Linked DNA regions of Solanum lycopersicum. The protein of the gene in region 2 binds, or shares a complex with, the protein of the main gene of each other region. Links are inferred from orthologs where the notes say so. Each region holds a gene or a part of one and is shown on either strand. Other genes may lie near its edges.

Region 1 (4,035 bases), on a different chromosome or scaffold from region 2:
ATTTCCTTTGGTTTCTCAGTTTTGTCACTTTATATATTCAATCTTTTTGTGTATAGCTTTCAAAAGTTTGTATAAACGTGCACTTTTTTTTTATAATATAATTTATTTAATGTAACTATTTAAAGTCAATAAATGTATATTTATATCAATTCGTTATTTTGAGGTGTTTTTTTTCATATTTGTATAATTTTAAACTTAATATTGCTCAATCATGCAAAAACACGGAATTATACAAAGGTACCCACGAATTATACAAACGAGATGCGAATATACAAATTATTGCCCTCTCTCACTTGCCTCTCTCCTCCCTCTCCCGATCTCGCTTGATTCTCTCCTCTCTCTCCCAATCTTGCTCGTCTCTCTCCTCCCTCTCACAACCTAGCTCGCTTCTCTCCTCCTTCTCCCAATCTTACTTGTCATATATACAAAACCTATATGAATAATATTCAATTATCTAACCAATATACATACACAATTTACCTCTATCCCATTTCTACCCTCTCTCCTCCATCTCTCAATCTCGCTCATCTCTCTCCCTCCTCTCTCAATCTCGCTTGCCATATATAGAAATACATATGTATAATACACAATTATCTACCTGATATACATGTGTAATTCACCTCTCACTCTCTCGCTCGTATCTCTTATCCCTCTCTCAATCTCTCTCGTCACTCTCTTTCTCTATAACATATAGCTACGAATTGTAATTAACAAATTATAACTATGAAGCATAATTAGGCTATTTTTGAGTGAATATATGCAAAGTTCCTTTTTATATTATGGACCAATTCAAGTTTTTTAAAACTATAGTTATAAATTTGATAAAATATAATAATTTTCATAGATATAATTGATAAATTAAGAAATGCATTAATTTAAAGTCAAAATAAATTCATATTGCGAGAACAATCATTATATGAGATACAAACCGTTTAAAAAATCATGATAGAAATTATAAATTTTATTTACATATGAAATAAATGACTGGTATATATATATATATATATTGTATTTTTAAAAATCAGAATTTTGAATTAGGATTTAAAATACAAAAATTTGATTAAAATAACCATGTTTAAGATATGTTTAATCAAATTTTTGTATTTTAAATCCTAATTCAAAATTCTGATTTTTAAAAATACAAACGACAGCGTATTACATGGGCCACAGCACGTGATGTTCGTTTGCTTCCCAAAAAGCAAAGAGATAGCAGTGAACATGACAGTCCTCCTGCTATGGCTGTTCCACTCTCCTCTGCCAAATTTCACACTTCAATTCTCACACAATCACTCCCCTCTTCTTCCTCTCGTTCTTTTTCCGTCGGAAAACGCTTCTGTTGCTCGTCGTCATCAACTTCCATGGAACATCATGAATCGAAATTTAAGGAATTTCCTTATGCATCTGTTCCGCATAGAGAGTTAATGGTGGAACTTGTATCGACTGTGGAGAATCGTCTTGGAGAGTCTCTACTTCCTTGTACTCTGCCTTCTCATGTGCAGTATTTTGAGAATGAATCTGCTACTGCTCATGCTTCTCTCTATGTCAGATCTGGAAATTCCTCTTCTCAGGTACTCTCCGACTACCTCCTCAATTGATTCTACTATTTATTACCTATTCATTCGTTTTTGCAGTTGTGTCAATTATATGTAGTATGATATAGAATTACTTCCTGTTGGATGTTTTGTTGAATTAGTATATACAGGGTGAATAACAAATCTATGGACAAAGAAATTGATTTTCATAATAATAAAGTGTGATACCAATAGTTTAGAACCCTTATTTTCAAGGAAAAGTTTGTCTTGGGACTTAATGACGACACTGAAGTGCACATTAAGCGAAGTGGTCAACATGTGTAAGCCTTGCTTCAAGGCTTGAGCATGCATAAAGTATGCAACCAAAAAAAAAACGCCAAGAATTTTCTCCTAATGCCCTTCAATATGAATGAATACACTACTATCTTGTACATAGTGAAGTTGATAAAGAAAACAAGAAAATTATTATGTACTATAGAATAATGATTGAGAAAGCTAGATCTTGTCATCTTATTTTAGTGGATTTGGCTTATGCAGAAGAGTTAATCCATTACGCATTGTGCTTTTTGTAGATTGTCCTTTTTACTATGTATGCTAATTCTTTTAATAGAAGTAACATGAATTGAAATGCCAAATACTTATCTGTATAATGTGGTGATGGGAGTTAAGAAGATCAGCAAATGTATTTTTGGTTTTATTCACCCAATGAAGTCAGACAAGATTTTTATCAAATCTGTTTCCTTTGAGCTAATTTCAAATTGAGTATTTCTTGTTCAAGCTATATATCTTGCACTTTCTAGTAAATAACAATCCATTCGTTACAATTAAAAAATATATAACAAACAAAATTCGTGAATGTGCTGCAAACTCCCACTAATATTTTAATAGTTTGCAGTTTGTTCTGTGAAATACATCTCAACTAGTTTTTCTGTGATCTTGTCAAAGTAGTTTGATCTCTGCTTGTTCCCCATTCCCTAGCTTCAGGAGCTGTAGGGGGAAAATTCATATGATCTGCAATCTCACCTTCTCACCATTACCATTCCCAACTTCAATATCTGGCGGCACTGAGTTTCCCATCTGAATAGGTGCTGAGGTAAGTTGTGAACTAGTATCCAATCTGGAACAATAGAAGTTTCTTGCTCTGGTTTAAAATTCTGTGCACATCTCAGGATTTCATAGTGTATGACCGACCCAATGTGAATGAATGACTTGAAAAAATGTTATTGAAGTCTGTTTTGTTACAGAAAGTCAATGTAAATAGTGTTGTAGTTGTAGTACCCAATCTCGACTCTTCCTTTCAATTGAAATTGACTCACAAAAATTTTCCTTAGTTCTTTCATAGTAGGTTCCTTTGATAAATTTACCCACAATAGTCATTTGCAATTATTAGCCAAATTCACGAAATAGTCATCAGCAGAGAAATATATGGTTGGCTTTCCGAGATGAGTCTCATGCCTAATTTCAACAGGAGCTTCGGCGATTGAGGCATTGGCAAATCAGCTTGAACCTTTCTGTGAAGGTTGGTTTCGATGAAGTAGCACCCTTTTACCTTTCCCTGCTAAATTGGGATGTTTCTGTTGGAGTTGAATATTGGGGTTCTGATTTATCAGTGGCAACAGGGTTATGATCAGTTCCATTGATGTTGGTCGCGTCATCCGATTTCAATTTTGAAGAGGGTGTGTGAAATCTGAGGACACCTTTGGCTGAGGGGTTAAATGATTTTGGTGGGTGGATTTTGAATGGGTAGTATTTTCCTGTTGAGGTGTTGCATGCGTGATCTGCAAAAGAGTAGGCTGAGTGTTAATAGCAAGTTGGAGGTTCTGGTGAACTGTTAGGGGCAAGCTTTAGGAGTTTATTATTGTCCATGTGTTGTTCCTCTGAAGGATTGGAAGAAATAGGGGATGATGTTTATTGGTGTTGTGGTTGTTGGTGCTAGAAGGAGTTGATTATTGTGTGTTTGGGATTTTTCGGCTGGATTGGTTCAAACTAACCATTGGGGGTTGTAGGAGAGCGGGTGCGTTTTACTGAGTTGTCGGTGTAGGAGAGACTGCAGTTGGTTGAGATGAGTATGGATTGAATGTATAACTAGTGTTTTAGGTGGGTTCCGATGCACAATTGGTGTTTGCTGAAAAGATCAATAGATCTTCATAGAGAGAAGCTAAGAGAGTGTGCATCCAAAATTGACCAACCAATGTAACTGCTCGATTTCAAGAATTATCCTTGTTCATAATTTGTAGTTCTCTGCAAGTTGCATTCACCTGATGTCTTCTTGGGGAGTTATACATAAGGACTGCAAAAGCATCAGGGAGATAGCAATTTGGATCTGGCTTCTGTTCATTTATTCTTATCCAGTTCCATTCCTCCGCTTATAGTTAGTCATTCCATTGAGAGTTCTTTGACAAGTCCATTTAGTGTTCTTTTTCTAATGCCTATAATAAAAGATGAACTGGGAACACACAGTTAACGATTTCAACTTTCTCATCAGGAGTATAAGCAAGGTTAA
Region 2 (4,353 bases):
TAAAGAGGTGATCTTTCATATTGTTTTGCTTAATTGTAAGCTAATTCATTGTTTCAATTCAGGTCAAGATCATCAAGGGCAACTCCAGTCATTGATTCATCAAAGCCATTGCCACCCCAGGCGACATTTCGTGGCCCTTACATCAACACGGGATCGCGTGATATTGGACCTGATCATCAAACATACCCTAAGAAATAACATCTTTCTTGATTAGATATTAGTTTTGCTAGTTATTGAAGTCACTCTAGATTTCCCCTTTTTCTTTCTATTCAATGAAAAGAGATAATAATGAGAGTCTGTTGAAACTGGCTCAGGAGAAATTAGCATGTTTGAGAGTGATCCAGGAGCACCCTAGCTGGCCTGGACACCATTGTTATCGAAAACTCTGGAGGAAATTTGCATGTTTGAGAGTGTGATCGAGGAGCGTCCTATCTAGCTTGGACACTACTGTTTCAAGAAAAATTGTTCTTTTAGAGATTTTCAGATATGTAAGTGTGATGTTGCTTTATTGTTCAGAAACAACAATATGTAATATGCTGCGTGGAACGGGGCTAGAATTTTCAGTAAGAAGTTTGAAAATGAGGGTAAAAAGAAAGGGAAAATTGAATTTTTTTTCCCCCCCTCTTTTTAATGATTTGGTTTAAATGGAAGAAGGCACTTACTTTCATACCAAATTCAAGTAAAAGAAAAGGAAAACATTGGTGGGAATTGGGAATAGAACTAGATTTTTTTTTATGAATAGAAAAAAAAAGCAAAGAAGAAAATTGTTGCTACTAGGGCGTGTTTTGACATATTTTCCATATTTGGTTGGTGAAATCTTTTAAGAAAATGACTCTTTTATTACTGTACTGTATTGTTAAATTTATTATTAGATAACATTGAAAAATTTTTATTTTGTATAATCATCAATTTGGTGTGACTGTATTATAATTTTATTTTTCTTTCTTCTCATTTTGTTTAATAATTTTATTTCATCTTTTTTTCGATCTTAGATCTATCTTATTTTCTTGTAAGTATTGATTATGACATTCAATCGATAACGATAGGATATATTAATATATTTTTATCAAAATAATATATAATGTAATATGCTACGATATGATATATTATGAAATTATACTAAATAACTTATCTAAATATTGTGACATTTCAAGATCATTTTCTTTTCCACTCCTTAGTCCTTACTCCAAACACATGTTAGAAATATATTTTTTTAAAATTTTGAGTTGAAAGTGTGTAATAGAAATATTTTGCTATTGACATTTAACCATTGATTTTATCTCCTCTTTACTTTCACAATTATTATCATGTGTAACCTAATCAAATTTGAATTTGTGTCACGTTGAGAATAAAGAGCTCTCTAATAAAAATACGATTCCATATTCGAATGAGTCAAGCCTAAGAACTCTAACCAAATAAAAGAAGTATTTACCACTCCGCGTTAACACGGTCTCTTCTTCTCCCTAAAGCACCACCACCACAGCTTTCATTTTCTGGGCCCTCCCTCACAAACCACAAAACTCATCAAATTCCAATTCAAACACATTGTTCATAACTTGCACGCAAATCCTTCTTCTTCTTCTTTACTTGAACATATGTGTATTAGTAACACAAAACATTGATTAACTCAATAATGGTTTCTTCTCTGTTACTACCAACTCCTCAAATTCTTTCAATTTCATCTTCCTTACAGTCTTCACTACCTTTCAAACCTCATAATTTTCTTCAAATTACAAGGAAAAAAAATACGCTAATTTCATCTCCTCTTAGAGTAGCTGCACCTCCAACAACAACAACAGCTACTGAAGAAGAAGAGAAGCTAGATTCAAAATCTAGTGATATTGAAGATACAGAAAATGATGAACAAGATTCGTCGTCGAAATTCTCTTGGAGAGATCATTGGTACCCAGTTTCATTAGTGGAAGATCTCGACCCGAGTTTACCCACACCGTTTCAGCTACTGAATCGTGATATAGTTATCTGGTTTGATAAATCTGGATCTCAGTGGGTTGCTTTGGATGACAAATGCCCTCATCGTCTTGCTCCTTTATCTGTACAAATCCACTTCTCGATTTTGCTTGAGGATACTTTTTATATGTGTTTTTAGCACTCCTCTTTAAAGTTTTTGATGTATGGGTGTTTGTAGGAAGGGAGATTAGATGAAAATGGTGATTTGCAGTGTTCATATCATGGATGGTCATTTAATGGATGTGGTTCTTGTACAAGGATACCTCAAGCTGCATCTCAAGGACCTGAAGCTAAAGCTTTTCAGTCTCCAAGAGCTTGTGCTACTAGATTTCCTACTATGGTTTCTCAAGGATTACTCTTTGTTTGGCCTGATGAAAATGGATGGGAGAGAGCTCAGGCAACAAAGCCGCCCATGTAAGTTTCTGAATAATTAATTAAACTAGTTCGAAGTTATGCTATATTATTATATATTAATCTCTACTATAGTGACTTGGTTTATATTATAATACTAATCGATTATCTTTAGTACAATGACTTGCTTAAAATATGTTCTTCGTATTTTATTTAAGCTATTGCTGGATAATGAGATTGATTTGGTAGCTCACTTGGTTGATGCCCTGCATGTGTGGTTGAAGAATCGAATCCCATTCCCCTACCTATCGCGTTGATCAAGATATTATAGTTGGTAGACTTGAGTATACTTTTAGTGGGATTTAAATTTGTTGTTTAATGGGATATTTGTAGGTTGCCTGAAGATTTTGATAAGCCTGAGTTTGCAACTGTGACAATTCAGCGTGATTTGTTTTATGGCTATGACACTCTCATGGAGAACGTCTCTGATCCTTCTCACATTGATTTTGCACACCACAAGGTATTTTTTGCAACATTTTCATTCCTTTTTGGCTTCTAATATAGTTAAGAATCCACTTTCAGACCTAAGGTTTTATCCTTACATGCTAAAAATGAATAGTCTTCAGGGTTAGTTCTGAGTTCTCATAAGCTACGGGTTGTTTGGTTTTTGATTTCCATGAAAATATGAACTCAAACTGTTTCACATGTGAAAAAAGTGAACTTTTGAACTCTTAAGCCAAGTAGCTCGCTGTGCTTGGCCAAAACATATATAAGGTCGTTCCTTGGAGGATTTTCTCTTTATCTGGAACGGTATAAAGGTGTAGCTTTTGAGTGTTGCTCATTGTTTTATACAAGTTTTCATAACCTTACTTTCTGTGCAATTATTAGGTAAAAGCCATACTTGGAGAGCAATAGGTAGAAGTACGCCATGGGAATCTTAACTATCACTCTTATGACTTCAGTGCTACTTTTATCAATTTATGGATAGTTTTTCGATCTTACCATCTTAAAAGATGAAGCTGATAGGATTAGGCTATCCGGAGTGTGGATGCTGAATAACATGTTTTGACTCTGGATGTTGCTTCATATTCAGCTGACAGGATTAGGCTCTCTGGAGTCTAGATACTGAACAGCGTGCCAGACGATCCTTAAAATAACCTTTACAGACAATGTTGTGTGTATCTATCTGTAAATATAAATTTCAGAAAGATCTGAAGTAGAGCTTTCATCTTTTCAGTCGCTAAACGACTTTATTATTAGCAAAGGGCTTCATGTATCAGATAACAGAATACGGTGTATATATAGATGTGCATTTTTACTAGAGTGATACTGCTGCTGCTTGCTTGGTGTCCAACAACACATGTCTCTTAACTTACTTGTTGATATTTTACAGGTTACTGGAAGGCGAGACAGAGCAAAGCCCTTGCCATTCAAGATGGAGGCATCTGGACCTTGGGGTTTTGCTGGTGCGAACAATGATAAACCAAAAATTACTGCAAAATTTGTCGCACCTTGTTACTCAATGAATAAGTAAGTTCATCATCCTAAAGTAGATCAAATTTCTTGACTATCAAGGCAAGCAATCATGTATAAATTAATCATCTTTAGGTAGATATGCTTGCATCACATTTCTCTTTCTCCTACTTCACAGAGTCTGTTATCTGCTAACAAAACGAGACATTAGTAGCATTATGTATCTATACTCTTATGGTTGTGGGCATTATATCCTGTTCAAGTCGGGTTCTTTAAGGTATAGCTTTCCAGACCAGGTGCATGGTTTGTACAAGGCTTTGCGCATCAATAGATGGAAGTTCGCTTTGTTGTTGGTATACATGTCTTTATATCTTTGTATGAATTACGTTTTATATGTAAATGTTAGCTCCATCCATGCTGCAACTATTTGCATAGTATGACTAAGATCTCATTGGAAAATTTTCCAGAATAGAGATCGACACAAAGCTTCCAATCGTGGGTGATCAGAAGTGGGTGATATGGATTTGTTCCTTTAATGTACCTATGGCACCAGGAAAGACC

The links. The genes of interacting proteins can lie anywhere in the genome.
Region 1: lethal leaf spot 1-like protein (region 2) and red chlorophyll catabolite reductase, chloroplastic share a complex: the UniProt entries of both Arabidopsis thaliana proteins name them as parts of the SGR1-CCE-LHCII complex. The link is inferred for Solanum lycopersicum from reciprocal best matches to the Arabidopsis thaliana genes ACD1 and ACD2.

What each region holds. Positions count from the first base shown.
Region 1 is NC_090802.1:10,423,555-10,427,589, forward strand, and holds the start of red chlorophyll catabolite reductase, chloroplastic, read left to right. Parts: upstream 1-1,168; 5' UTR 1,169-1,235; coding exon 1,236-1,568; intron 1,569-4,035. UniProt on the Arabidopsis thaliana protein: Catalyzes the key reaction of chlorophyll catabolism, porphyrin macrocycle cleavage of pheophorbide a (pheide a) to a primary fluorescent catabolite (pFCC).
Region 2 is NC_090810.1:57,602,853-57,607,205, reverse strand, and holds the start of lethal leaf spot 1-like protein, read left to right. Parts: upstream 1-1,544; 5' UTR 1,545-1,633; coding exon 1,634-2,053; intron 2,054-2,146; coding exon 2,147-2,382; intron 2,383-2,712; coding exon 2,713-2,839; intron 2,840-3,712; coding exon 3,713-3,849; intron 3,850-4,259; coding exon 4,260-4,353. Other genes in the region: uncharacterized protein, read left to right, coding at 63-198. UniProt on the Arabidopsis thaliana protein: Catalyzes the key reaction of chlorophyll catabolism, porphyrin macrocycle cleavage of pheophorbide a (pheide a) to a primary fluorescent catabolite (pFCC). Works in a two-step reaction with red chlorophyll catabolite reductase (RCCR).